Linked DNA regions of Macaca fascicularis. The protein of the gene in region 6 interacts with the protein of the main gene of each other region in a pairwise test. Links are inferred from orthologs where the notes say so. Each region holds a gene or a part of one and is shown on either strand. Other genes may lie near its edges. The genes, in order: SNAP29, DDIT3, CCDC106, JUN, BFSP2, ATF4 and EGLN3.

Region 1 (3,500 bases), about 20 Mb from region 6:
ATTTTTTTTTTTTTATTTTTTTGAGACAGGACCTCCCTCTGTAGCTCAGGTTGGAGTGCAGCAGCACCATTACAGCTCACTGCAGCCTTGACCTCCAGGCCTCATGCGATCCTCTTACCTCAGCCTCCTGAGGAGCTGCGACTACAGGTGTGCACCACAATGCTTGGGTAATTTTTGTAAAGACTGGGGTTCCACTATGTTGCCCGGGCTGGTCTTGAACTTCTGGACTTAAGCAATCCACTCACCTTGGCATCCCAAAGTTTCGGGATTACAGATGTGAGCCACTGCACCCAGCCCTAAAGACTTTTTAAAGGAAAAATTATGTGAAGTGAGTCACATTTGTACTGATTACGCTGAGGCGAACACCCTCTCTTTCAAAGTAGTGGGGTCACAACTATCGGAGAAGCAGTTGACAGATTACATGTCAATCAAGTGAACATGGGAACACGGAAGAACAGTTTCTGGCTTCACAATGTTTGAGGACAAATATCCTGATGAGTAACTTAAAGGGTTGCTGGATCCCTTCATGACACTGACGTGGACTGAAAGCAATTGGTCATTTGCACTAATCCCCACTTCTGCTCCTTTATACCCAGATGGTAGAAGACACACTCACCTGCTGTTGGGCTGGGAGGCGAGGGTGCCATTCTGTTCAGGTGGGGCCTCTGCTGGTTTGGATTTGAAGTAATTGACGAGCCCCCCAAACACGCTCTTAATGCTATTGATGTGTTTCTGGCTGATCTTCAAATCTTGGTCCATCTTGTCCACCATCTTCTCTGTGCGCTCCAGGACTCCTCGCTGACGGACAAGCTCCTGGGGAAACCAAGAGGCGGTGGTATTATAGCTTTCTGTGACTCTCCCCTAGGGCAGTCAAGGACCACATGGAGCAGCCACTTCATAAACTCTCAGTGGGCACATCTGGAGACGGGTACTATCATCTGTGAGGGGCACACTACCCTTTCCAACAACACGTTCCTTTGCCTCTCCCTCCCTGCCCTACCTCTGCTTGCTTTCCTCATTTGTTCATGAGACCCTTTTCCTGAGAGGCTGGTTCACGGCACCATGTTAAGATGGATAGCAGAGGCCTGGCGCAGTGGCTCACGCCCATAATCCCAGCACTTTGGGAGGCCAAGGTGGGCAGATCACGAGGTCAGGAGTTCAAGACCAGCCTGGCCAACATGGTGAAACCCCTGTCTACTAAAAATACAAAAAGTAGCCAGCTGTGGTGGTGGGTGCCTGTAATCCCAGCCACTCGGGAGGCTGAGGCAGGAGAATCACTTCAACCTGGGAGGCGGAGGTTGCAGTGAGCTGAGATTGTACCACGGCACTCCAGCCTGGGCAACAGAGCAAGACCCCATCTCGATGCTGGGGGCAGCGGGTAAGATGGATGGCAATGTGCCTGTGAGGTTCAGAGTCCAGGGCCTGAACTGGAAGCAGATTCTCTCTAGCCCACCAATTCTGGGAACCCTCACAGACTGGGGCCTGGCACTGCCACCTGGACTTTGGTTCTTATATTCCTCCTTTATGAAGTTCCCACTTTAGGAGGTCCCAGTGGGCCACCTGAGCCTTCTGGCCATGGTCAAATCCTCGAATTCTATTTCAGGGACCAGTGTCCCTTCTGGTCCTATTAATGTCTGACTCTAGTTCATCCGCAATTCCAGCTTTAAAACCTGTTAACATGTGTGACCCTGTCCCAGGGCCTTTGCACACACCACTGTCTCTGCCTGTAATGTTTTCCATCCGGATACTTATATGGCTCAGCCTCTCATCCCTCATCCAATTAGGGTCTCCTCTCAAAGGCCACTCTCTGAGAGAGGCCTTCCCAGACATCTTCCCTAAAGGAGAACTCTTTCCAACCACCAACCCTCTTCTCCACATCCTTTTTTTATTTTGAGATGGAGTCTCGCTCTGTCATCCAGGCTGGAGTGCAGTGGCATGATATTAGCTCACTGCAACCTCTGCCTCCTGTGTTCAGGTGATTCTCCTGCCTCAGTCTCCAGAGTAGTTGGGATTCCAGGCGCCTGCCACCACGCATAGCTAGTTTTTTGTATTTTTGGTAGAGACAGGGTTTTACCATGTTGGCCTGGTGGTCTCGAACTCCTGACATCAGGTGATTCACCTGCCTCGGCCTCCCAAAGTGCTGGGATTACAGGTATGAGCCACTGCACCCAGCCTCTCTTTTCTTCACAGCATATGAGCTCCAGGAGGCAGGGACTTGCTCTGTTCACAGATGAGTCTCTGCAAATCTGCCCAGTGGAGACGTGAGTGATGCTCTCTGGCCACAGTGGCAGCCTGATGGTCCCTCCAGAGCTAAAGGTTCTGGTTGTGGATATACATCCACCACAACAGGAACACTACCACTTTCCTTTATTTATGACAAACTTGCTTCAGTCTCTGCTTCAGAACTGATCTACGGCTGCGGCCCATCTGTTGAGCTGCCTTTCCAGCCAGAAGGCTCTCAAGCTTCTTTTTCCTGCTCTCAGGCAGCCTCTGCCCTCAGCTGCCTTCCTCTGAATCTGTTATCCACGCATCACCCTGTGGCTTAGCAATTACACTAACTATGCAAATACTTTTTTTTTTTTTTTTGAGACCGAGTGTCGCTCTGTCGCCTAGGTTGGAGTGCAGTGGCGCAACCTCGGCTCACTGAAAGCTCCGCCTCCTGGGTTCACACCATTCTCCAGCTTCAGTCTCTCGAATAGCTGGGACTACAGGCGCCCGCCAACACGCCCAGCTAATTTTTTGTATTTCTTTTTAGTAGACATGGGGTTTCACTGTGTTGGCTAGGATGGTCTCGATCTCCTGACCTTGTGATCTGCCCGCCTCGGCCTCCCAAAGTGCTGGGATTACAGGCGTGAGTCACCGCGCCCGGCCACAAGTGTTTTTTAGATATATTCTCTCTTGATGCCTAAAAACAAAGTTAAAAAAAAAAAAAAAAAAAAAAAGCTTTAATCGCTGAAGAGTAAAATGCAACTGTAATCAGAAAAGCAAAATGCAACTATAAATAAATGGTTGTGGCTTCCTTAAAGTCCTTAAGGAATCAATGTGTAACCTAAGTCCTTGTTTAATGGGTGAAATTTAAAAACATAATGTATACGCAAAAAGCTAAAACACTGGTTGAATTTACTATTAAACTTTAACTCTTGCTGGAAATAAACTTAGAACCGCTGAATTTTACAGCTTTCAACATTTACATTTTTCGCCAGTTCACAAGACATGTCTGAAAAAACCATCAGCCTTTTTTAACTAAAAAGAAAAATGTTTTCTGGACTGTGTCAGTCAGTATGTCAAGCAAATCTTGCAAGAGCTAGTTTTCAAAAGAAAAAAGAGCTGCTAACATATCTGGTGTTTCTGCTTCTTCCATTACCTCAAGTTTATCATCTTCATGTCCATACTGTGGTCTTTTCTGGAATAAGGCAGAGCTACACATTAGGATTAAAGAGATTTTCTCCAGCATCTACACGTTTTTCTAACAGTCCAGTTCCAGCTAGCTTTGCAGGCTG
Region 2 (4,248 bases), on a different chromosome or scaffold from region 6:
CAACCTCTGCCTCCAGGGTCAAGCGATTCTTCTGCCTCAACCTCCCAAGTAGCTGGGACTACAGGTGCATACCACCGTGCCCAGCTAATTTTTGTGTTTTTAGTAGAGATGGGGTTTCACTGTGTTGGCCAGGATGGTCTCCATCTCTTGACCTTGTGATCTACTCGCCTCCCAAAGTGCTGGGATTATAGGCGTGAACCACCATGCTGGGCCCTTATTTTTCTTTTATCTCCAGCCTCCTACTGGTCCGTCCTTACTTCTGGTCTTGTGGGGTATGCATACTTGGTCCCTGTAGCCATTTCCAAGGGCAGAAGAGGGCCTGACTTTATTTTTAGTTGCTGACATTTGTAGTCCTGGTTACATAATAGCAAAGTTCTGGCCAACTCAGCTTTCTCTAAATTCAAGGCAGGCCTTAAACCTGCCAGGGTAAAGACTAAACTATAGGGAAGGGAACAAATCGTAGCATTTTCCTAACTCCATTCCCACACTGACATCCTGTAGCATTTTCCTAACTCCATTCCCACACTGACATCCTCCAAATGTGTATTTCCAGTCTGGACCTCTTCCAGAACTTCCGACTCTGCTGTCTACTGCCTACTTGCCATTTCTTTTTCAATGTCTAATAGGTACCTAAGACTATGTGCAAACTTGTTGATTTTCCCCTTCCAAGGTCATCCCCATCTCAGATGACAACTCTAGTTGCTTAAGCTAAAAACCTTGGTATCATCCTTCATTCCTCTCACACCCTGCAATCCAAAGTACTAGCAAATTTTAACTTTTTTTTTTTTTTTTTTTGAGACGGGTCTCCCTCTTTTTGCCCAGGCTAGAGGGCAGTGGCACAATCTCCGCTCTGCAACCTTTGCCTCCTGGGTTCAAGCGATTCTCCTGCCTCAGCCTCCTGAGTAGCTGGGATTACAGGCATGCACTACCATGCCTGGCTGATTTTTGTATTTTTAGTAAAGATGGGGTTTCACGTTGGCCAGGCTGGTCTTGAACTCCTGACTTCGTGTGATCCACTCCTCTGGTCTCCTAAAGTGCTGGGATTACAGGCATGAGCCACCATGCCCGGCCCTTAACTCATTCTTTAAAAATGAGTTTTTAAAACTTTGCTTAGAAGAATTTAAACACCTCTAATTCCATTCTTTCCAATCTAGATCAATTCACCACCATCTCTCAATTACTGCAGAAACTTCCTGATTGCAGAAGGTCTTCCCATTTCTTCTCTTGCCACCCCTCCGTAAGTCTATTCACCATACAGCAGCCTGAGTGAACCTTTTAAAACAGGTCATTCCTCTGCTCAAAACTCTCCAGTGACTTCCTATGTCATGTCAGGGAAGTCATTGGAGGGTTTTGAGAGGAGGAATTACCTAAGGTAATTCCTGACCACCTGATGTAACACAGTAACCTCCATCCTGAACATTCTCCATTCCTTTCTCTGCTTTAGCTTTCTCCATGGCACTTATATTTTGTTTACTGTAGGCCTCCCACTGAGATGATTTTTTCCTCTTGCTCACGGATGTTCCCTGAGCCCCAAACTGTTTGGCACACAGTAGGTCCTCATTAAGTATTTGTTAAGAATGAATGAATTCTCCCCAATCTCTCTTATAGGGAAGGGGCAGACGCAGAGTGGCAGCTGCCGATCCCTAGGGACTGGAGATGCAATATTGCCCGAAATATTTCTCTGCAGGGCTGTCTTCCCTGGGGAACCCTCCCTTGCCTTCCAGTGCGTGGGACTTGGCTTTCATCAGCAGTGGAGCCTCAGGTCAGAAGGCTGCAGAGCCAAACGGGGCTGGCCTGATGCAATGGTTACACAGAGATTAGCTGGGAGACAGGACCGGGTTAAAGAGGCAGGGACTAATCCCGAGGGAAGGACGATACCCTGGGGAGACCCCAAATGGCCTCCTACACTTAAGAGATCCAGGCTGCTCTCTTGTGCGGGAGGCCCAGAGACCTCTACGGCAAAGGGAAAACACACCGCTCCCTGTCCATCGGCACCCCTCCCAAAGGCTTGTGTCAAGGTTCCCCTTTCAGCCCTGCAGGGTCCAGTAGCCCCAGCTACCGAGGTGGCCATGCTGACACCAGAGACGCTGAGACTGAGACAGGATTGGGGGTAGGGTAGGGAGAAGGCCGATGGTGGCGAACGGGCGGAAACGGTTTGAGCGATGGTAACTCAGTCTTAGAGCGGGGGTGTGTCCTGCTGCCTCCCCGCGGACAGGCCTAACGAGGTGGCCTGAAGTTGGCTACGGGAGAGAATGAATTTCCCTAGGGCAGCCGAGGTCCCTTTGCCCAGCAGCACAGAGCAGGGCCCATGCTCCGGCTCCGGGCAGGGGTGGAGAGACGCTGTCGTCCGAAGCAATGGGGGTTTGTAAGCACCACCCCAGAATAAGGGACTCTCCCCATTCCTCTCTCGGACGGTCCCTGACTTCACTGTGGAGGCGTGAGGCCAATCCTAAAGAGCGGATGCCCCAACTCTGAGGAGACGGGAGGGCAAAGGGCAGATGGGAGTCAGTACTCGCCTCTCTCCTCAGGTTCCAGCTCTGATTTTGGCTCTGTCGCTGCCACCCGCTCATCTTCAACATGATACGCTCAGTGCCTTAGACTTAAGCCTCTGACCTCGGGAGCGCCTAGCTGTAATCTTTTACCATGGCCTTGCCCTCCTCTCAGGGGCGGGACCCCAAAACCTACCAATCAGAAAGTGGCACGCCGGCATTGGCCCCGCCTCGTCCCTCGTATCCGCCACTCAGGAGCTCCGCAGAACCGCCCCCGTCGCTCCCTCTCGCTAGGGGGTCGACGTAGTGTCGGACCCGGAAGTGGCTTTGGGTCACGAGGCTTCACGGAGGCGGTGGGTGAGTCATGCGCGCGCGCGGAGGGGAGTGTAGCGGGGGGAGGGGAGGAAAGGGGGGCGGGGATGATGCAATGTTTGGCAACTGGTGTCTGCACGCGCACGCGCAGGGGACTACGAGGGTGGTGGGAGGTGCAGAGGGTGGGGGAAAGGAGAGAGGGCGGGGCGCCAGCTCCCGGCGCCCAACGGCCCCAACGGCTATCAGCGTTGGCCGTCCGTAGTCGGTCGTGTGGAGCCTCTTTGCCGCTTGTCTCCCCCAGAAGCTGCTGTTCCGCCCACCGAGCTTTAGCCGGCGTTTTACCTCCACTATAAGGGACTCCCATTTTCCTTGGCCCCTCCCAGCTAATGGTCATATAGGCCTTTTGAACTTTTCCTTTGAAAGTTGGTATCCATCCACTGGGATTGTCGACATCTCGAGAGTCTTAGAGAGGTCTCCGGGCTCGGTGACTCATGCCTATAATCCCAGCACTTTGGGAGGCTGAGGAGAGCGGATCACTTCAGGTCAGGAGTTCCAGATCAGCCTGACCAACATGGTGAAACCCCGTCTCTACTAAAAATACAAAAATTAGCCGGGTGTGGTGATGCGCGCCTGTAATCCCAGCTACTCTGGAGGCTGAGGCAGGAGAATCGCTTGAACCCTGGTGGCGTATGTTGCAGTGACCGAGATCGCGCCACTGCACTCCAGCCTGGGTGACAGAGCGAGACTACGTTTCACCGAAAACGAAAAACAAATAAAAAAAACCGGGGTCGTCTAGCCCCGTAAATCTCCCAAAAGGGGCCGAGGTACTGGAATCCCTTGGTAGTCATTTTCCGCTTCTCTCACAACAGCGCCCTTGACTTTTACCTTGGAGTTGCTAAGCCCTCAGCCTGCCAGAAGTCATGTATTTTACCCAGTGGACCCAATTCTGTTTGGCCACCTATTTTCCCCCACTATACTCTTACGGCTTTCTCCAATACCAAGACCCTCTCTTGCTGTACCAGACAGCAAGTCCTGTGACTCCCTGCTGTGAGGAGCGCGGCACAGGCCTGCCTCCTAGGTGTTCGGGTCGAGATTTACAGCGGAGTCTCATCCTGGGACGTGTAAGTGCACTTCAGCGCAGGACCGCCGTGGACTGGGGAGACCGGGGCCGCGATTTTAGCCTCAACTCCCCCTCACTTACCAAGGGATCTTACCGTCCTTGTTTGTAAATCAACGAGTTGTAAGGGTAAAATGAGAACCATGAACTTGGAGGCAACTTGAACAAAAGTAAAACGCACCACGCAGAATGCAAAGTATTTTTCTTGTGCCTTGAAAACAGAGGCCATGTGGTGGCCTGTTACATATCCTGTCATACCCTCATGGGGGCAGCCAGAGTTTAAGTAGAAACTGTCACAAGGCCGGTTGTGACTGGAGTGGTGTTTCTGTG
Region 3 (3,940 bases), on a different chromosome or scaffold from region 6:
ACCTGGGTCATCTGGGAAGAATGTTTTTAAGCTGAAACAATTTTAAAACCACAACCTCCTATCACAAACACATTTTATATGGTAATAGAGTACACAGATATGCAAAATATATGTGAACCAAGTTTCCTTCCCTTTTTTTTTTTTTTTTTTAGATGGAGTTTCGCTCTTGTCACCCAGGCTAGAGTGTAATGGCAAGATCTTGGCTCACTGCAGCCTTTACATCCTGGGTTCAAGCGATTCTCCTGCTTCAGCCCCCCAAGTAATTAGGGTTACAAGCATGTGCCACCATGCCCGGCTAATTTTGTACCTTTAGTAGAGATGGGTTTCACCACGTTGGCCAGGCTGGTCTCGAACTCCTGACCTCAGGTGATCCACACACCTCAGCCTCCCTCAGGACCCTGGGCCTGGAAACAAAAGTTTCTTTACCATAGTTAGCTTTAGTATGTGTAGATTTTTTTTCATTAGCTGCTATTATTTGAGATGGAGTCTCGCAGTGTCGCCCAGGCTGGAGCAGTGGTGCAATCTCCACTCACTGCAACCTCCACCTCCCTGGTTCAAGCGATTCTCCTGCCTCAGCCTCCTGAGTAGCTGGGATTACAGGCACGCACCACCACGCCCAGCTACATATTTTTTTAAACTGCTGATTTCATCCTATTCTATTGAATTCTCCACCCATGAACCTATAGTTTGGAAAAGACTAATCTAGGGCAGGTGGCTCCCCCTGGAATTTCTGGACCAGGCTGCAGTTTATTTGTAAAGTGAAGTGGGGAGGGGAGGATCATGGGTACAGCTTTGCAGGCGGTGCAGACGTTTAGATTCTCCCTCCATCGGGTTAAGACCTTGCTCTCCTAAGGGCTGGCCAGAGTCCAGAGCATGGATGCTTCTGGTGAACAGGAGAGGCAGGTGGAGCTGAGCCTGAAGCTAAATAAACATCTGCTTATTAATTCATTTTTCTTGCCTGTCTGTGCCAGGCACTGTGCTAGGCCTCATTTGCTCTTCCGACCTCTTTTTTTTGGGAGGAAGAACAAATCTTCCGTTCGTACTCCCCAGAGTGGGAAAGGAAAGAGCCTCCCAGAGGTTACGATCATACCCCACCATCTGACCTCAAATAATACCAGCAGCGCTCCTCTCTCAAGCCCTGACTATGGCCAGGTGCTGGGCTGAGCTGTGTGTCCCATCACTGTGTCCTCACAAGAAATGTAGAGGGGCCTGTAATTTCCCCATTTTACAGGTGAGTTAACAGGCTGGGGAGGAGCAGGAACAGTCAGGACTGGAATCTAGCTCTGTTCCAAAGCCAGCTCTTAATTACCAACATGGGGGGGTGGTGGCGTGTTCCTGCCCCTCGTTTTTCTGGAGAGGGGTAACTCCCCCCATTTTGGCCCCCACATCCCTGAGAACCTTGGGGTCTGGCTGTAGGAGGTGGGGGAGCTCTGGGGGGTCTGCGCTGGCTAGTTCCTGAGATCGTTAAAAGTAGATTCTCCTTTCGCTCCAACTTTCCCGGTGTCTCACACACTCCTGCCTTCTCCTGGGCCCACTGGGCCCACCGCCACCCAATCCGGGGACCCCCGGAGGCTCGCCAGCTCTCCAGAATGGGAATTTCTTGACGTTCCCTGCCTGAGCTTCGGGGAGGGCGGGGGAGTGCCGTAAGGGGCTATCGCGCAAGTGCAGACCCTCTGCTTCTGCCGCAAACGGCGGGCCTCACCTGGACCAGGGGACTCTCCAACGAGGGGCGCTAGTCTGGCCCGACTGGGCGAATCCCCGCGTCCGTACCCGTTCCGTCGCTCAGTTCCACGACTCGCTCCCCTGCCGCCCCGCCTGTTCGCGGGTGGGTGGGCGCTTCCCTCGGCTTCCCGTGACACTTTGCAGACGCTCCCCGGCGCCGGGCATGGGCGCCGCCGCCGTCGGTCCCCGAGTCGGATTCCGCGCGCGGGTGGGTGAGCGCGGGGGGCCTCGGCCCCTCGGACCCCGGGCACCCGCGGGCGGGGGATGGTGACCGTATTTGCACCCCCGCCCTGATGCATTCCCCCGCTGGGATCTTTCCACGACTGCTCCCCCTCCCACCCCCGGGACAAAGGGCGGGGGCGGCGCATCCCCACGCGTGACCTTTCCCCGTACTGCGCACGCGCCCAGCCCCCACCACCGGGGGAGGGTCCGCACGCCCACGCGAGTGCGGGGGAGGGGTGTGGGACCCCGGAGGTAGGGGAGGCAGCGCGCACGGGCTGGACCTCCTCCTACCCTGGGAAGTTGGGGCAGTTTCCCTCTGCACCTGCCTCTTCCTTAGGCCTGGCGGTGGCCCGCGATGAGAGTCCTTCCCCTTCAGGCCAGGTGTCCCTGTCAGGCGACCCCTTGGGGCACCCAGCAATTTAGGGCTTCAGCTTCCTTTTCCTTCGATACCCAGGAGCCCACGTCCCCAGCTCACTTCTCCCCTAGGACCTCGGTGGCTGGGCCCCCTGTCCCTGGCTCTGGGAACCCAGGAGTTTGAAGCCCAGGCGTGTTTTGCCTCAGTCCTGGGGTCTGGGCTCCCTCCTCCCTCAGACCAGGGATCCAGGCCAGAAGGTCCTTCCTGCCTCACTTCACCTCCCCCAGGATGGACCCTCGAGTCCATCCGCGTCCCTCCATTTGTGGCTGCTGTTTCTGTCCAGTGCCCCTGAGGCCCTCGGCTGCTGGGGTCCGCAGGAAGCCACGCCATGAATGACCGGAGCAGCCGGAGGCGAACAAGTGAGGAAGCTGGGTCCCCTTCCCTACCCTGGGTCCCGGTGCGGTCGGTCGGCTCCAGGCTGCCGTGGTTGGGGGGTGGTCTGAGGGGCCCGGGACTTCTCTGGGGTGACCCGGGGCCTCTCCTCTCCAGTGAAGGACGATGAGACCTTCGAGATCTCCATCCCCTTCGACGAGGCGCCCCACCTAGACTCACAGATCTTTTACAGTCTGAGCCCCTCTCGGGGAAACTTCGAGGGTGAGCCGAGGGGGCGTGGAGGGACTGGAGTCAGCTGGGAAGCCAGGCCGAGTCCCAGGGTGTGACCTGGTCCCCCCACCCTCGCTGTGTCCCTAGAGCCTCCGGAGGCTGCGTCCCCCGCCCTGGCTTTGATGAACAGCGTCAAGGCCCAGCTGCACATGGCTCTGGAGAGGAACTCCTGGCTGCAGAAGCGCATCGAGGACCTGGAGGAAGAGAGGGACTTCCTGCGGTGCCAGCTGGACAAATTCATCTCTTCTGCTCGGATGGAGGCAGGTATGTGTGGGGTGCTCTGATCCACCTGCCTCCCTGTCCCGCTACTGGGTACCCGCTCACCCAGACTCGAGGCTCCACAGTTTGCCTGGCTGGGTGGGACCTGCCATGTTGGCCCTCTCTGCTAGTCCCCTGCCTGTTTTGGGCCCCCAGGCCCAGCTTCCTCTTCACTTGATGTCCAGGACCTCATCCCCATGAACTGTCTACTGGGGCCTGTCCTCCTGCTTTTTCCTTCAGCTCCCCAAATCCCATCAGCCTCCAGTGCCCTGCCATCTGCTTCCTTGGCCTATGGTGACTTCAGGACCCTGGAACCTGAGAGTCCCTCTCTTCTGACTCCTAGGGGGACCTTCCTTCATCTCTTTGGCCAAGAGGCCCACCCTAGTCCTTTGGGTTTCCTCAGGGGGCCCCTGATCCTCTTCCTGGCCTTGTCTTCTCCAAGATCCAAGAGTCCAGCCATCCAGCCTCCTCCTGTCCCCCCCGTCCCCGTGTGACACCAGGGGCCATCTTCCCACCCACCCTGTCCCATCCTTGGTTAATGAGTTCTCCTTCCTCATGAAAGACATTAAGGCTCTTCCTGTGTGGGCCTTTTTGGGTGGGGACCCCAGCAGGTGCTGTTCCTCAAACCCTGCCCCAGGTTCCTGGGCAGTCCCCGCCCACATACCTTGCTCTGCTATAATTCATGGCCAGAAGCAGCCGGGAGAGCTCCCATAGCAGCCC
Region 4 (4,148 bases), on a different chromosome or scaffold from region 6:
TCTTTCAACTCCACCTAGATAGCTAGTATCTATAGATGATGCAGAAAAGAGGTTAGGGGAGTACTTTTCAATAGTTTATTGTATTTTCTTAAATATCCTTTCTGGAATTTTCAGAAACAAAACATAAAAAAATTATATACTTTATTACAAATGGTAAACTCAGAGTGCTCCAAATCTCTTATTTACAAACAACACTGGGCAGGACACCCAAACAAACAAACAAGAAATAACTTACAAAGGCATGAAGCTGTTTATTGACAGTAATCAGCTTTCATCAAATTAAAAAATATATATATGTACATACACAGTTAACGAAGGCAGGCCAGAAAGAGTTCATCTGTAGGCTCAGCCTCGCTCTCACAAACCTCCCTCCTGCCGCCCCTCCCCAGCCCTCCCCCCCGCTTTGTGTTCTTAATGAGTACTACAGAAGCAATCTACAGTCTCTATTGCAGTTTGTAACCCCCTCCCCCTCCCCCCTTTAATACTGAATGAGATCGAATGTTAGGTCCATGCAGTTCTTGGTCAATGTTAACGAAAAGTCCAACGTTCCGTCCGCGCGGGGACAGCCCGTCCGCAAAGCGGGGCAGCCCGCAGGCGGCCGCTCCCTGGCTCCACGCCAAGGGAGGGCGCGCCAAGTCCTTCCCACTCGTGCACACTGGGGGCGCCGTCAGGACGCAACCCAGTCCAACTTGGATACCCTTGGCTTTAGTTCTCGGACACTTCTTTTTTCTCTCCGTCGCAACTTGTCAAGTTTTCAAGTCTGTCTCTCTGTGTTATTTTTTTTCTCCGTTGCCCCTCAGCCCCCAACAGTCTCTCTTCAAAATGTTTGCAACTGCTGCGTTAGCATGAGTTGGCACCCACTGTTAACGTGGTTCATGACTTTCTGTTTAAGCTGTGCCACCTGTTCCCTGAGCATGTTGGCCGTGGACGCCAGCTCCGAGTTCTGAGCTTTCAAGGTTTTCACTTTTTCCTCCAGCCGGGCGATTCTCTCCAGCTTCCTTTTTCGGCACTTGGAGGCAGCAATGCGGTTCCTCATACGCTTCCTCTCCGCCTTGATCCGCTCCTGGGACTCCATGTCAATGGGGGACAGGGGCGGCGTCTCGCCAGGCATCTCGGGCACTGTCTGAGGCTCCTCCTTCAGGGCTTGCAGCCGCGGGTGCTGCACGGGCATCTGCTGGGGCAGGTGGTGCGGCGGCTGCGGCGGCGGCTGCTGCTGCTGGGGTTGCGCGGGAAAGGCCAGGCCGGCCGCGCCGTAGGAGGGCGCCCCGCCGCCGCTGCTCAGCGCGCCTGGGTTGAAGTTGCTGAGGTTGGCGTAGACGGGCGGCTCGCTGTGCAGGCTGGCGCTGAAGCCTCCGCTGCCGCTGCCCCCTGCCACCGAGGCTACCGCTGGAGCTACCATGCCCGCCCCGCTGACCGGCTGCGCCGCTGACGTGACGCTGGGCAGCGTGTTCTGGCTGTGCAGTTCGGCCAGGGCGCGCACGAAGCCCTCGGCGAAGCCCTCCTGCTCGTCTGTCACGTTCTTGGGGCACAGGAACTGGGTGGGGGTCGGCGTGGTGGTGATGTGCCCGTTGCTGGACTGGATTATCAGGCGCTCCAGCTCGGGCGACGCCAGCTTGAGCAGCCCCACGTCGGGCGAGGTGAGGAGGTCCGAGTTCTTGGCGCGGAGGTGCGGCTTCAGGCTCCCCACTGGGTCGGCCAGGTTCAGGGTCATGCTCTGTTTCAGGATCTTGGGGTTACTGTAGCCATAAGCTCCGCTCTCGGACGGGAGGAACGAGGCGTTGAGGGCATCATCATAGAAGGTCGTTTCCATCTTTGCAGTCATAGAACAGTCCGTCACTTCACGTGAGGTTAGTTTGGGCTGCGTGCTGAAGTTTCGGGGCCGCAACAGCGCTCTGGCAAGCGGGGGACACCCGTGCCCCCCGGGGCCTTTGGCAGGGAAAGTTTCTCTAAGAGCGCGCGCACCCGCTGGTTGTCGTCCCCGCTGCGCCCTCCTCACCAGCTCGCTCCAGGGAGCGCAGGGTTAATTAAGATGCCTCCCGCACTCTTACTTGTCGACTCGCGCGCGCGCTACCCGGCTTTGAAAAGTCGCGGTCACTCACTGAGCGCTCTTCGGGCGCCGCCGTTCCTTGGAGTCCGCGGGCGAACTCGCTTCCCAGAGCAGCGGCTCTCCCGGCGGCGCGGATCAGTGCCGACCCGCAGAGGCCGACCAGCGGCGGGTCTCGGCCGCCCAGACTCCGACGACTTGTCCCCTCCTCCGCTGCGAGGGGGAGGGGGCGCCCGGCAGCCGCGGCTCGCGCTCGCCCAAGTTCAGCAACCGGTGCGAGCGAAGCTGAGCGCACGTCCTTCTTCTTTTGCGTGGCTGTCCGCCGCCTCCTGGTCTTTACCGCCGCCGAATAGCCTAAGACGCAGGAAAGGCTTGCAAAAGTTCGCTCCGGGACTCTGGGCCAGTTGTCTCCGGCCCTCCGGGCCGAGAAAGTTCTTTGCTGCTGCAGTCGCTCGCCGACTTCCCCCGGCGGGCGCGTGGGTACCGCTGCTCGCCACCGCTGTCAACAGCGCCTGGGCAGCAGGGCTCTCCTCCTGGGGGCGGCTGGAGACCAGGCTCTCTGGGCACTCCTCGTAACACCAGCCCGGGAGCCACAGGCGCTAGCTCTGGGCAGTTGGAGAGAAGGTGGAAAAGAAAATAAGATTTGCAGTTCGGACTATACTGCCGTCCTGGCTGGCTGGTTGTGTCTGTCTGCCTGCCTGAGTCCGCGCACCTCCACTCCCGCCTCGCTGCTTCAGCCACACTCAGTGCAACTCTGAGCCCTTATCCAGCTCGAGCTCAACACTTATCTGCTACCAGTCAACCCCTAAAAATAGCCCATGATGTCACCCCAAGGCCTTCCCATTGGCTCGCGTCGCTCTCAGGGGGGCGGGCCCGCCCGTCACCATGGAGACTCCACCCTAGAAGATTCTTCTCTGGGCCCGCGGAGGCTCACGGGATGAGGTAATGCTCCGCTGCCCTCCTACAGTCGGGCCCTTCTTTCTCCTACCCTCCCCCCTGCCGCACGCCTCTCGGCCCTCTCTTCCCCGGTCCCCTCCCCGGGCCGTTTTTCCCGGCCCGCCCGGTGCATTGTGGGCTGACGTCTTGGGGTTTGACTGTCTAGTGACGGTGGCTGCCGCGAGCGGGCGGACGCTCGCAACATCTGACGGAGGGGGCTCAAGTTCACGGCTGCGGACTGGGATGCAGGGGATGCGGGGACCCGGGAGGCCAGGGAACCCGGCCAGTTGTTTTGGGTCAAGGGTGCGGGCGAGGGGTGGTTGTGTTTCCCCACTTGTGGGGCTCGAAGTCATCCACCGGCGTCCGCCACCGCGCGGGGCGGGAGGCTGAGAGTCCAGGTCCGCCGCCCCCCCGCACTTCCGGGGGGCGGGAGCGCCGCCCTTAAGGTGGCTCTGTGAAGTCCCAGTTGGGGGCGAGCCTAAGGGGGCTTAAGTTTGGGGGCGGTCTCCCGAGAGTCGGCCCCCCACGTTGAGAAACGCTGCGAAGTTTGCATCTCGGTCAAGTTCAGGAGCGATGGTCCGCGGGGTTGTCTGGCTGCTCTTAGAAGCTGAGAGATTTGTATTGCCCAAAACTGGACGCTCAGCTGAGTCTCCGTTGCACCCCACTTCATCCTCCGGGACCGTGGGGGAAAGGGCGCGGGGGATCACAGCTTTGCCTCCGAGGGGCAGTTTTTATAGTGGGCGCAATTAGTGGGTAACAGGGTCCAGATGGGAACAAGCGTGTAGGCGATCCGAAACTCGGGGAACCCCGGTGTTAGTCTACTCCCCTTCCCGCCCCCGGACAACACACACACGCTTAACACAACACGCACAACATGCGCGCGCGCGCACACACACACACACACACGCACACACTCTCCACCCGCGCCGAGTTGCTTCCGGGAAAACAAGCTCAGAAGGCGGGGGACACTCGCATAAAGTAACGCAGTAGAACTCAGGAGCCCGGGGTAGAACCTGGACTTCAAATCTCCACCTTCCCGGCCGGGTGGTGGGCCCATATCCTGAGTAGCCTCTAGGAAGCGCTAGACACATGTAAGTGGTTCCTTTTCCGCGGTTGTTATTTTATCTTCCCCCCGCCCCCCACCCCTTAGGGACGAAAGTGTGTGGTG
Region 5 (4,040 bases), on a different chromosome or scaffold from region 6:
CCCTGGACCTCCTTCCTCCTGAGGCTGAGTTGAGAATTCCATGAAATAAACTATACGATTCATCCACACACCAGGCTGGATCAGGTATTCACTAGAGGTTGGCTCCCTTCTCCTTCTCTCACCTGAGGTACATTCCTACATTACAGCATTTGGAAAAATATCCAGCTCTGGGGTTTGGTGACCTGGTTTCTCCAGGGTAAAACTTATGTACAGCGGTTTTTAGGTCCATGTTGTCATCCTGAAACTGGAGGAACCTTTCTGACCCTAGAGAATGGATTGAGGTGTGACCCTTGATGGTTTAGTGGATGCCAAGGTCAGTAATTAAAACCCAGGGGTGTCATCATATCCTAACTTGGGGCACCCTTGGAGAGCTTACCAGAAAACACCGTCTTTGTTGTTTTTCTCAGTTTTCCAACAGATGGAGAAGCAGAGGTGTAGGGAATGGCTGGAACATAATGTGTGGGACCTGAATCTGCCCAAGGTCCTTATCTGGTGCATCAGAGAGTTGGAGGCTCATGCCAATGTTCAAACAGTGAGGTCCAGAGGGAGGAAGCATCCTGGCCAACAGCAAGCAGCTGATGAACAGCAGAGCATTAGAGGACAGAGATGAGGAGGAAAGGACAGAGGCGAGGCAAGGACCTGAAGCTGCTGTCAGGACTGAGAGAGGAAACCGTAGGCAAGTCTTTTCTCTTGGGTCCCTGGAGCTGCCTCCTGACACTTTTCATCTTCCATTGCCTGTGTGGACATGTGTTCACATTCACATGTGCCAGTACACATAGGGATGTAGAAAGCCCCAAAATAGCTAGATTGAGTCCTAGCTTGTAATTTGAGGTCTGGGGCAAGTGATCACCACACTTGTGATCTGAGGTCCTTGAGCCTCAGTTTACTCGTCTGTAAAATGGGGTTGCCTGATGCCTGCCTTGCCCACTCTTAGGTAGTAAAATGTACAAACCCAAATGGTCTACCCCCACAGCCTGCACTGATCCAGCCTCCCCCACCACCAGCAGAATAATCTGGGAGGTTGGGCACATGACCCTGCATCAAAGAATGCATGAGTGCCTCTCTGCACACAGCCCTGGGCAGTGCCCTCTTCTCTTTCAGCTCAGTGAATGATGGAAACTCATGGAAGACAGCAGACAAAGCAGCCCCGGGGATAGGGGAGATTCCAGAGAGGCCCGTGACCAGGCCACAGGGATGCTGGGGCTGTAAACCAAAAGCCACTGGACTCTGTAAACCCACTGGGCGCCACAGAGGCAGAAGGGGTGATGAGCGAGAGGCGAGTAGTAGTGGACTTGCCCCCCAGTGCCAGCTCCAGCATGCCCCTCCAGAGGCGCAGGGCATCCTTCAGGGGGCCACGGTCATCATCCTCCCTGGATAGCCCCCCAGCCTCCAGGACCAATGCCATGAGTGGCCTTGTCCGAGCACCTGGGGTCTATGTAGGAACAGCACCCAGTGGGTGCATAGGTGGCCTGGGTGCCCGTGTGACCCGCCGGGCCCTCGGCATCAGCAGTGTCTTCCTTCAGGGCCTGCGGAGCTCAGGCCTGGCCACAGTGCCGGCTCCAGGTTTGGAGAGGGACCATGGTGCTGTTGAGGACCTAGGGGGCTGCCTGGTGGAATATATGGCCAAAGTGCATGCCCTTGAACAAGTCAGTCAGGAGCTGGAAACACAACTGCGGATGCACCTGGAGAGCAAGGCCACGCGCTCGGGAAATTGGGGTGCCCTACGGGCTTCCTGGGCCAGCAGCTGCCAGCAGGTAAGTGTCCAGGCTGTGCCAAGGGCTTTGCAGAGGGCTGGGAGGGGCTGCTGAGGGCAGGAGTAAGGTTGTGAGTAGGCTGAGGCCAGAGAAACTGACCATAATGCCCTACACTTTCACACTTAAAATGTTCATGATAACAACAATGCTCCTTTTTACCAAGGTTTACCAGGAGCCCACGCTAGCCCCCATACGTGCACTATCCACTGTCTTCTTTACAATTTGAAGACATGCTATGCAGTGGATCATTCATTGATTGCACTTTTGAGATGAGAAACTGAGGCATGTAATTTTCCCAAGACTTCAAAGCTAGTAGAGGGATGAAGATGAGATTTGAATCTGAATTTTTGTGCCTTCAAAGTTGCATGTGCCCCATTACCCTGAGCTGCCTCAGTCACCTTTACTGTTGAGAAGGGATTTTTACAGTCAAATACCATTGGATGGATGTGGTATTAAGAACAATGAATAAATGGAGGTGTGTTCCTGTATCCACCTATAATCACCCTGTTCAATAGAAATGTGAGGTACATTGGTAATCAACAAGTTTCTATTACCCACAGTAAAACAAGTAAAAAGAAGCAGGTGAAGTTAATAGTATAGCTTACTTAACTCTATATGTCCAGAATGTTATTTCAACATGTAATCAATACAAAATATATGAATGAGATAATTTACATTCAAGTAGAACTTTCTGCATGATGGAAATATTAATATCTTATATCTACACTGTCCAATCTGGCAGCCACTAGCCAGATATAGCTATCAAGCACTTGAAATGTGGTTAATGAGACTGAGGAATTGCGTTTTTGTTTTATCTAATTTTCATTAATTTAAATGTAAACAGCCATGGGTAGCTAATGGCCATCTTATTGGACAGGGAAGGATGCAGAGGTTTCATCTTTCTCCCTTGCTTGGTCAGCCCTGCGTTTCCCACTCTCCAGGGTGATTTCTGCAGAGTCTGGAGCTCATCCATCATGTCTGGCCTGCAGCCTGTAGTTCTAATGCTGGGACTCCAGCCAGCATTGCACCTCTCAGCTGGTCTCTCTGTGGATGGTTGGCTTCTCTCCTCCTCTTTCTCTCCAGACGCTGGTCTTGGGATCACTCTGAGCAAAATCAGTCTCTAACCCACCAGGGACTGCCACTGGAGTCTAGTATGCAGCCTCCCAAGAGGAAGTCACAAAATTTTATTTGTGTGTAGCCGGGGGATGCTAAGCAGGTGCACACAGGGACTCCCCATTTGCCCTTCCTGCCTCCCATTTCGTCCCAGGATGCTTCTCCTGCACTGCTCTCAGTGCCCACTGACAGCACAGAGTGCATGATGAGCAGCACCATCCTCTCAGGCTCTCCCCCTGGTGCTGCTGTTCTGCTTGCATCCATCCGGGCTGCGAGGGAGAGCCATCTTAGAATAGTCCAGGGCCTTAATGCCTGTCAAATCTAAGAGGCAGCCATTCCTCCAGGATTCTTCACAACTGTCCAAATATTGTGCCATAACAACCACCAGAACATCCCTAGATACTCCAATATGTCAGCATCTGCTGGACAATCGCTTGCACTCAGATGCCACACAGACTTGTCAGGAGAAATCAGGTGTCCCAATGGCTAGGTTAAAAAGTAGGGCCACAAAACTTAGTTTATACTCAACAGATACCGACTTGCTCTGGCTCCAGATAGCTACAAGAGCCCTTGCAACGTACTGACTTCTCTGGGCCTCAGTTTCATTATCTACAAAATGGGTATAATAATGCTTAGATATTCCTGCAAATCCACAGACAAATAAGATGACTGGCTCCTGCCTACAGGTAGAGTACAGACTAGGAAGCTCTAAAATCCTGTGAGCGCCGCAGCCACACACCAAGACATGCGACCTCTGTAGCTGAGGGCCAGGGTCTCACATGGGCTCACTTTCCTCTTCAGTGATTGTAAATGAGGTCCTGGGTATTAATAAAGTTCTCTTTTTCTTCTTTTTTAAAAAATTCATGGCCTTGAAATTAGACCAATTGATAAAATGGAGTTATTATTTCTTTTTTTTTCTTTTTTTCTTTTTTTTTTTTTTTTGAGATGGAGTCTCGTTCTGTCACCCAGGCTGGAGTGCTGTGGTGTGATCTTGACTCACTGTAACCTCCCACCTCCCAGGTTCAAGCGATTCTCCTGCCTCAGCCTCCCAAGTAGCTGGGATTACAGGCGCATGCCACCATGCCCAGCTAATTTTTGTGTACGTTTAATGGAGATGGGGTTGCACCATGTTGACCAGGCTGGTTTCGAACTCCTGACCTCAGGTGATCCACC
Region 6 (3,814 bases):
CTCAGCTCCTGTCCTGCTTCAGCATCAATTCCGAAAAGGAGCCATTTCTTTCTTCAGGAACACGCTTCTACAGAACTCAGGGTAACAAGTGAAAACTAATCTTGTGTGCTTATCTCAAGGACTGTGCAAGCTTATCCAGGGTTTCAGGCGACAGCTGTTGGCATGAAGCCCTCTTGAATAAATAGGTGGAGGCCCAGGCTGTCCCTCCCTCCCAACCTCCCAGAGAGCTCCAGCCTCCTCCCTACACAACCAGCGAACTCACCTCTGGGTAAAGGACCCAACTTGCTACAGTTGGCCAACTATCTGGCTGTATGGCCCCATGAGTCATCAGGCATCGTGGCTTACACCTAGCAGGGCGAGCAGTTCCCACTCTGGGTACCCATCTTCAGTCCTGGACTGCCCTCCTCCCCAGATCTCACAAGGAATGTTATGACCAGTTTGGGATGGGTGGGTGGCGCCTCACTCGGCTAATTTGCCAGAAAAAGAATCCACACAAGTACTTTCCCTACAAAATAATTTATTCCAACACACAGCAACAGCAGAGACTCTATGTACAAGCACACTGACGCTCCTGACTACCCTCAACTAGGGGACCCTTTTCTTCCCCCTTGCCTTGCGGACCTCTTCTATCAAATCTTTCAGGTACTGGATCTCCTTGGCCAGGGAATCCGCCCTCTCTTTTAAAGCCTCATTCTTCTTTTCCAGCTCTTTGCACTCGCCAGTGAGGGCCTCCTGCTCCGCCCTCTTCTTCTGGCGGTACCTAGTGGCTGCTGTCTTGTTTTGCTCCATTTTTTTCAGCTTCTTATCCAGTTTCTCACCCTTTACTTTTGCTTCTACCATCTTCTCTCCAGGAGGGTCGTAAGGTTTGGGGCGGGCAGAGCCACAGAGAACACCTGGAGATGGGAGGCTCCTATTTGGAGAGCCCCTGGTAGACGGGCTATGCTGAGGAGAGCCCAGATAGGACTCCGGGCTCATACAGATGCCACTATCATTATCTGAGGGGGTGTCTTCCTCCTTTATGCACGGAGGGATCATGGCAACATAAGCAGTGGCATCTGGCTTCCTATCTCCTTCAGTGATATCCACTTCACTGCCCAGCTCTAAACTAAAGGAATGATCTGGAGTGGAGGACAGGACCCCTGGGGAAAGGGGAAGAGGTTGCAAGAAGGTGAAGGGGGCAACCTGGTCGGGTTTTGTTAAACTTTCTGGGAGATGGCCAATTGGGTTCACCGTCTGGGGGGGCTCCTTGTTAGTCTCCTGGACTAGGGGGGCAAAGAGATCACACGTGTCATCCAACGTGGTCAAAAGGTCATCTGGCATGGTTTCCAGGTCATCTATACCCAACAGGGCATCAAAGTCGAACTCCTTCAAATCCATTTTCTCCAACATCCAATCTGTCCCGGAGAAGGCATCCTCTGCAAAAGATTTGAATGACAGGGCCAAGTGAGTCAGATACAAAGATAACAGGCCCCTAACCCTAGATCCCACCCAGACGATGTGGTGGTGGCCCACTCACCCTTGCCGTTGTTGGAGGGACTGACCAACCCATCCACAGCCAGCCATTCGGAGGAGCCCGCCTTAGCCTTGTCGCTGGAGAACCCATGAGGTTTGAAGTGCTTGGCCACCTCCAGGTAGTCATCTAAGAGACCTAGGCTTTCTTCAGCCCCCAAACCCGACTGGTCGAAGGGGGACATCAAGTCCCCCACCAACACCTCGCTGCTCAGGAAGCTCATTTCGGTCATGTTGCGGTGCTTTGCTGGAATCGAGGAATGTGCTTAATTCGAAGATGTCTTTGTCGGTTACAGCAACGCTGCTGCTGAATGCCGTGAGAAGCCTGAATGGGAATCAGAAGCCAACTCCCATTAGAGGTTAGCTGGTCTGAGAATTTCATCTTTCCACTTACGAGGCGGGACTTCTCTAGTCCAGCCATCTACAGAGTCGGCAACGGGGCAGTTGCATCCGCCCCTCCCTGCTGCGGCTCAGGTTCCACAAAATGGACGCTCACGGAGACCAGGCGATTCTTCCACCGGCCACCAAGAGGAAGGCGCTCCGTCCCCGCGTCCAAATACGGCCAGGGCGGCCGCGCCCCGCCCACCGCCCGCCCTTGACTCACGCCCGCGGCGCCGCCCTGCCGCCGCCATCTTGGTTCTTGCCACGTTTCGCGGGGGGGGAAAGCCGAGACCCCTGGGACCCTTGGGGGATTCGGGGTCCGAGGGCGGCAGGGCCCCTGTGGAAGCAGTCCTGGCACCAGAATGCGCCTTCCCGATCCCGGGCACGCGAGCGTCTCGGGGACACCCAAGCAAAGACCACGCGTCCCGGGCGCTCGTAAAATCGCTTCCTCCTTGGCGGCACCGCCCTGGGCCCCAGGCCGCACCCCACCAACCCAAAACCTGCGCCGGCCCAGGGAGCACAGCTGGACGACCCGCCCTGGTACTCACGCCATGGCTTAAGCCGCTGGGGGGGGGTGCCGCTGCAGAGCCTGGTGCTGCTGCCGCCGCTGCAAAGGCCAATGCTGCCGCAGGCACTGCTGCCCCTAATACGCCATGGTGGCCGTGGACCCTGCGGGCGGGGAGGAGGGAAGGCGCACACGTGCGAACCAAACTACATTTGTGGGCGGACGAAGTAGAAATGGCCGCAACAGCCGCCCGCCGGCCCTTTATAGACTTCGTCTCTAAGGGGACGCAGCACCGACGCATCCTTCCGCCACGGCCACGTGACCATCTCCTCCCGCCCGCTCGTTTCCCTCCCTTTGACGCCCCAACCGTTTATGCCCAGCGCGTAGCTGTGACGAGAAAAGGTGTTTGTTCTTATGACCTCACGAAACGAGAGAGGTGCACTACTTTACTTCTATGATCAGAGTCCGTTCTTTCCTTCGCCGCCGGAGCGCGGAGTGATCTCGCAGACACGCCTCGCTTCCGGTGTCGGCGCGGTGGGCGGGGAGAGGTCGTTTTCCGGCGGAGAGTTTTTATTGTGAAGGCCGAGGACGCCAAGTTATCGCGCGAGGTGCTGGCGAAAAGCGCGCGTCAAGTTGATTGGCCCAGGCACGGTGAGTCATATATACCTCGAGCTCTTATTGGCTCAGGGCCCCAGGTGGGCGGCTGCTGGGAGAGGGATCACGGAGTCCGCGTGGGAAGGGTCGGGGTCTCGGGTCTCTGCCAGGCCTCAGGCCGGCCAGCCTGCTGGCCAGCTACAATCGCACTGGCTTCTGCCCCCAGGAGACCTTAGCCTAGCGCACCCCATAGTGGCCTCAGGGCCCAGCCCCTGCGGTCGGGTCCCGCCGCCCTCAGTGGAGGTCCGCCACTGGCGGCCCCGCCGCCACTCCCAGCCTGCGCGTCCTTCGGTTGCGGGGGCTAATTTCTGGCCTGCGGAAACCGCGGGGTTACCTGTTCCAAGCCTGAGTTTTCCAGAGACGCCATTCATAGCCGACACGGTGTTGCTGCCCCCGGGAGGTTGAAGGGGTCTCGAGAGGGCGCCTCGGGCCTGCCCACCTACACTCAAAGGCCAGCTGAGTCTGCATGGCTCCGTCTAAACTCTGGAAAGGAGCCGGGAAGACGCGCCGTCCTGTCGCCCAACCTGGGTTTTTACAATTCTCATCCGGCTCAAGTGCGAGGCTGCCACAGAATAGCATCATAGGGGAACTTCTGGTGTCCGAAGATTGCGTTCCCCTAAGAACAGAATTTTCTTCGCTGCCATCTACCTGGGGTAGTTTCGATTCACTCCGGGTTCTGAACTCCCCGGCCTAACCCGCTTTTCAGTGGTCATGCCCATGGCCCTGGGAGGAGAGGCGCTTGGGAACCCACGGCCACGTGCTCGG
Region 7 (3,500 bases), on a different chromosome or scaffold from region 6:
CAAAAATAAGCCACAAAGCCTTTGGCATTCACAAACCATAGTAAGCCATGGCAAGCAGCGATCAATGAGACATATCACCCTGAGGGAGAGGACTGTGTGGGAAATCTCTCTTGGGGATGGTTTTATATCCTACAGTTCTATTTTTGTGGAACTTTCCCAATGCTGCTTCTGGGAGGGAAAAGTGTACATCTTATTCTGCATTGAGAGTCAGAGCAACTCTGATTTAAACTGAAAAAAATTAATCATTAATTCTAATATCAAATTACCTTCTCTTCATCAACCACCCTTCTCAGAGGTAGGGTTAATAATCACCCTACCTATCCCCCTTCAAATTAACTTCATTATTTTCTTCTTAACAACTTTAGTACTAATTCCACTGTCGCAGGAGGTTATGAAGTGGAAATAGAAATGTTTCATCAGTGGGAGATAGGGCAACTATGAACCCAATATAAACTCTCCTCTAAGTTATCTGAATCATTTTCCTATAGTTTTTAACCCCACACTCTACTCCCATTATTCAAGAGTACCTTGGCATCCCAATTCTTGTTCAGATAGTAGATGCAGGTGATGCAGCGACCATCACCGTTGGGGTTGTCCACATGGCGAACATAACCTGTTCCATTTCCCGGATAGCAAGCCACCATTGCCTATGGAGAAATCCCAAGAAAGCTGGTTAACAAAGCTGAGACAGACAATCTTCTCCTCCCACTGGTGAGCAGATAAGTAACACAGTCTCCTTGGGTGCTATGTGACATTTACAGGTAGTTGCTGGCTTCTTAATTTCATGTATGGTACATAAATTTGGACCCTTCTGTGCATAAGAGTAATGGCCAGGTCATACTATGGCTCTGTCCAGTAGAAAGTAGTTCAACAATATTCCCAAAGTTCTAGAACATTTTACACAGTCTTTCTTAAAGTAACCTAACTACATGCCCTATTTGCATAACCTATTTGGATGCCCTGCCTTTCTTCAATACTCGTTTTTAGAAAAGCAGTTTCTAGTTTCCCATGCTAGACCTACAAAATCAGAGTCACTAGGTGTGGAGCTTAAGGATTATGACTGTTTAGCAAGTGCCCCTGAATCACTCACACTGTTTCAGAACAATGGCTAAAGGTACTTGCATACACAAAGTGACAGAACCAATCACCAAAGGAGGAAAAGGTCAGGCTTACTCAATAAAATGCTTAGGATAGAAGGAACAGAGGAAGATCAATAGGAAGCCACGCCCTAACTTGTTAACAAAGACAATACAGGGAGATTCCTTTCAGGAAAAAAGCCATGCATGTATCTTAATATGTGTTTCTTAATGCATGTCTTCTTCCTAATAATTATCAAATCAGGTGATAATCTGAAGCTCTCTTTGTCTAACTGCTACCTGTATCAATCAGGTGGAGGAATAAAGTAGAAAGCCATACCAAAAATCCTACTGAAAATTACTATTAGAGAAAACAAACCTCTAATTGTTCCATGGGAAAAACTGTAACAGAGAGTGGGGAGAGGGAAGAAGGCAAAGTACAGAAAGCCAGTTCTTTTCTTCACAGGATACTGCCATGTTTTAACAATATTTTTTATAGGGATGCAGTAGGTGCAAGGAAAATATTGGAACCAACAACATAAGATGAGAACAGGGAATTTTTTTCCTATTCTACTCACTGATGTATTCTTAGCACCTAGGACAGTGCCTGACATATAGAAGGTATCCATCTAAAATGTGATAAATAAATCAATGAACTAGTGAATGGCTCTTTCTCTAAAGAGTAAATTCACGTTTTACCAAGATCAATAGCTATTTCTGTCATTTTAAAAGACCTATCTTCAAACATACATGTAAGGATCCAGTCCATAGATTTCCTGATAAATGGCAGCATTGCTTCATCGGTAAAATGACCATTTGAGTACAGCCCCAAGCTAATGGGCTAGTGGTTCAATGAATCAACTTGAACGTGGCTGCCGAGTCACTCTCAATAGTAGCATGAAACTACTGCTCCTATGACATGGAACTAGGCATCACACACCTTGCATACTAGATCGTGCATACCAGATCGACAATAAGGCTGAATAGTAACTTGACTTCACAACAATTTTAAATCTTAAATCACCATCTCCCTCAAACTCCATATCCTCATGCAGCAAACAATCCCCATATCCTGCCTTTGAACATGAAAATGTCAATGCAATGTCATCCTTAGAGCTCAAGTTAGGCTGTTAGCTTGAGCATCTTTCAGAAGGTGAAACTGTGAGGCAACATCAGCAATAAAGGTTTAACAAATGAAGGTACCACTAAGCAAAGCATGGCTTGAGGAAGGGTGATTGGTAGCAAACAGAATTGAAGGGCCTAGCAAGAGAAGAAGAGATAAATAAAGTCACCTATAATGACTACAGAATTACCCACCCCTGGAAGCAGCTATTAGGATTATAAGAGCCACCACAGAGCCAATAATGAAAGTCGCTTAAGCCACAAACAATTACAGGCTGGATTCACTATTATCTCACGCTCCCCCCACTGAGTGTGTCTGAAAAGAAAAAGTACGACATCAATGCTATAATCTTATATGCTGAAACAGCTCTTCTCTAAGGAAAAGGTCAGTGGTCTGGATGCCTACCATAGTTCACTCTGCAACTAACTGTGATCCCAGGCTGTCTCTTTCCTATAAAGAGGGGATTGGGTTACACATCTGTCAAAGGCCCAAGAAGATCTAAGACTTGATCTAAGCATCAACCCTTGAAAAAGCAACATCGTTCTTCAGGTCATTAAGGAGTGTTTCTCTGCCTCAGAACTCAGCTCAGATTAAAATATTGGGGAAAAAAAAAAAAAAGATGGATACAAACTCACAAAAGTACACCCTCTACTAAATGCTGCATCTATAAAACACACAGAGACAAACAGCCAATTCCAGAGGACTTACTATTAGGACAAAACCCCTACATGTCAGCAAAGTATCTGTCTGCTTAAGAGGGAGGAACAGAGATAATTTTTCTGGCCAGAGTGAATATTCACCCTCTCTCCTGGTTCCAGAAACCACATGCATCAAGTTGGAAACAATGGAAGGAAATCATTTCAAGCATCAGTGGGCCAGTTGAGGCTACATTCGGCCAATTTTATCAGTGTGTTTTCTGGATGAGTGCCATAGGAGATGGGTCTTTGCTTGGGCACATTCCCAACTATTTGCTCGTCTTTGACAGGGTCTAAAACCATGAGGCTAAGGATGCACCAAGAAGCAAGCCTGACTTCAATAACTAGCCATTCACTTCTGTGCCAATTTGTGCACGGGGCAGTAACAAACTCCGGAAGCAGATCCGTCCAACTGAGTTGCTATCTAAACCTCATCAAGCCGGGGAAGGGATTTAGTGTTTAACAGAAGAGAAGTCTTCAATGCTGTATTGTTAAAAGAACGGGCCAGAACAATTTAATGATCATATAACAAACATGCCAAGCAATAAACTGACACATGTCAAGAGGATGCCTACTTTAGTACAGGCTTTTTTATTTTCTAAAACT

The links.
Region 1: the proteins of ATF4 (region 6) and SNAP29 interact in a two-hybrid assay, tested with the Homo sapiens proteins (2 studies listed by BioGRID and IntAct). The link is inferred for Macaca fascicularis from reciprocal best matches to the Homo sapiens genes ATF4 and SNAP29.
Region 2: the proteins of ATF4 (region 6) and DDIT3 interact in binary tests that used the Homo sapiens proteins (3 or more experiments, as listed by UniProt). The link is inferred for Macaca fascicularis from reciprocal best matches to the Homo sapiens genes ATF4 and DDIT3.
Region 3: the proteins of ATF4 (region 6) and CCDC106 interact in binary tests that used the Homo sapiens proteins (3 or more experiments, as listed by UniProt). The link is inferred for Macaca fascicularis from reciprocal best matches to the Homo sapiens genes ATF4 and CCDC106.
Region 4: the proteins of ATF4 (region 6) and JUN interact in binary tests that used the Homo sapiens proteins (3 or more experiments, as listed by UniProt). The link is inferred for Macaca fascicularis from reciprocal best matches to the Homo sapiens genes ATF4 and JUN.
Region 5: the proteins of ATF4 (region 6) and BFSP2 interact in binary tests that used the Homo sapiens proteins (3 or more experiments, as listed by UniProt). The link is inferred for Macaca fascicularis from reciprocal best matches to the Homo sapiens genes ATF4 and BFSP2.
Region 7: the proteins of ATF4 (region 6) and EGLN3 interact in a two-hybrid assay, tested with the Homo sapiens proteins (2 studies listed by BioGRID). The link is inferred for Macaca fascicularis from reciprocal best matches to the Homo sapiens genes ATF4 and EGLN3.

The regions. Positions count from the first base shown.
Region 1 is NC_088384.1:31,834,204-31,837,703, reverse strand, and holds part of SNAP29 (synaptosomal-associated protein 29), read right to left. Parts: intron 814-3,500; coding exon 617-813; intron 1-616. UniProt on the Homo sapiens protein: SNAREs, soluble N-ethylmaleimide-sensitive factor-attachment protein receptors, are essential proteins for fusion of cellular membranes.
Region 2 is NC_088385.1:64,327,937-64,332,184, forward strand, and holds the start of DDIT3 (DNA damage-inducible transcript 3 protein), read right to left. Parts: upstream 2,801-4,248; 5' UTR 2,686-2,800; intron 2,615-2,685; exon of another isoform or gene 2,580-2,614; coding exon of another isoform or gene 2,517-2,579; intron 1-2,516. Other genes in the region: DDIT3 upstream open reading frame protein, read right to left, coding at 2,517-2,579. UniProt on the Homo sapiens protein: Multifunctional transcription factor in endoplasmic reticulum (ER) stress response. Plays an essential role in the response to a wide variety of cell stresses and induces cell cycle arrest and apoptosis in response to ER stress.
Region 3 is NC_088393.1:63,601,615-63,605,554, forward strand, and holds the start of CCDC106 (coiled-coil domain-containing protein 106), read left to right. Parts: upstream 1-1,140; 5' UTR 1,141-1,231; intron 1,232-1,702; exon of another isoform or gene 1,703-2,077; intron 2,078-2,535; exon of another isoform or gene 2,536-2,642; 5' UTR 2,643-2,687; coding exon 2,688-2,718; intron 2,719-2,848; coding exon 2,849-2,953; intron 2,954-3,049; coding exon 3,050-3,226; intron 3,227-3,940. UniProt on the Homo sapiens protein: Promotes the degradation of p53/TP53 protein and inhibits its transactivity.
Region 4 is NC_088375.1:175,918,076-175,922,223, reverse strand, and holds JUN (transcription factor Jun), read right to left. Parts: upstream 2,801-4,148; 5' UTR 1,823-2,800; coding exon 818-1,822; 3' UTR 62-817; downstream 1-61. UniProt on the Homo sapiens protein: Transcription factor that recognizes and binds to the AP-1 consensus motif 5'-TGA[GC]TCA-3'.
Region 5 is NC_088376.1:36,333,195-36,337,234, forward strand, and holds the start of BFSP2 (phakinin), read left to right. Parts: upstream 1-1,240; 5' UTR 1,241-1,265; coding exon 1,266-1,754; intron 1,755-4,040.
Region 6 is NC_088384.1:12,124,644-12,128,457, forward strand, and holds ATF4 (cyclic AMP-dependent transcription factor ATF-4), read right to left. Parts: upstream 2,632-3,814; 5' UTR 2,439-2,631; intron 1,835-2,438; 5' UTR 1,743-1,834; coding exon 1,517-1,742; intron 1,416-1,516; coding exon 586-1,415; 3' UTR 501-585; downstream 1-500. UniProt on the Homo sapiens protein: Transcription factor that binds the cAMP response element (CRE) (consensus: 5'-GTGACGT[AC][AG]-3') and displays two biological functions, as regulator of metabolic and redox processes under normal cellular conditions, and as master transcription factor during integrated stress response (ISR).
Region 7 is NC_088381.1:101,740,303-101,743,802, forward strand, and holds part of EGLN3 (prolyl hydroxylase EGLN3), read right to left. Parts: intron 648-3,500; coding exon 528-647; intron 1-527. UniProt on the Homo sapiens protein: Prolyl hydroxylase that mediates hydroxylation of proline residues in target proteins, such as PKM, TELO2, ATF4 and HIF1A. Target proteins are preferentially recognized via a LXXLAP motif.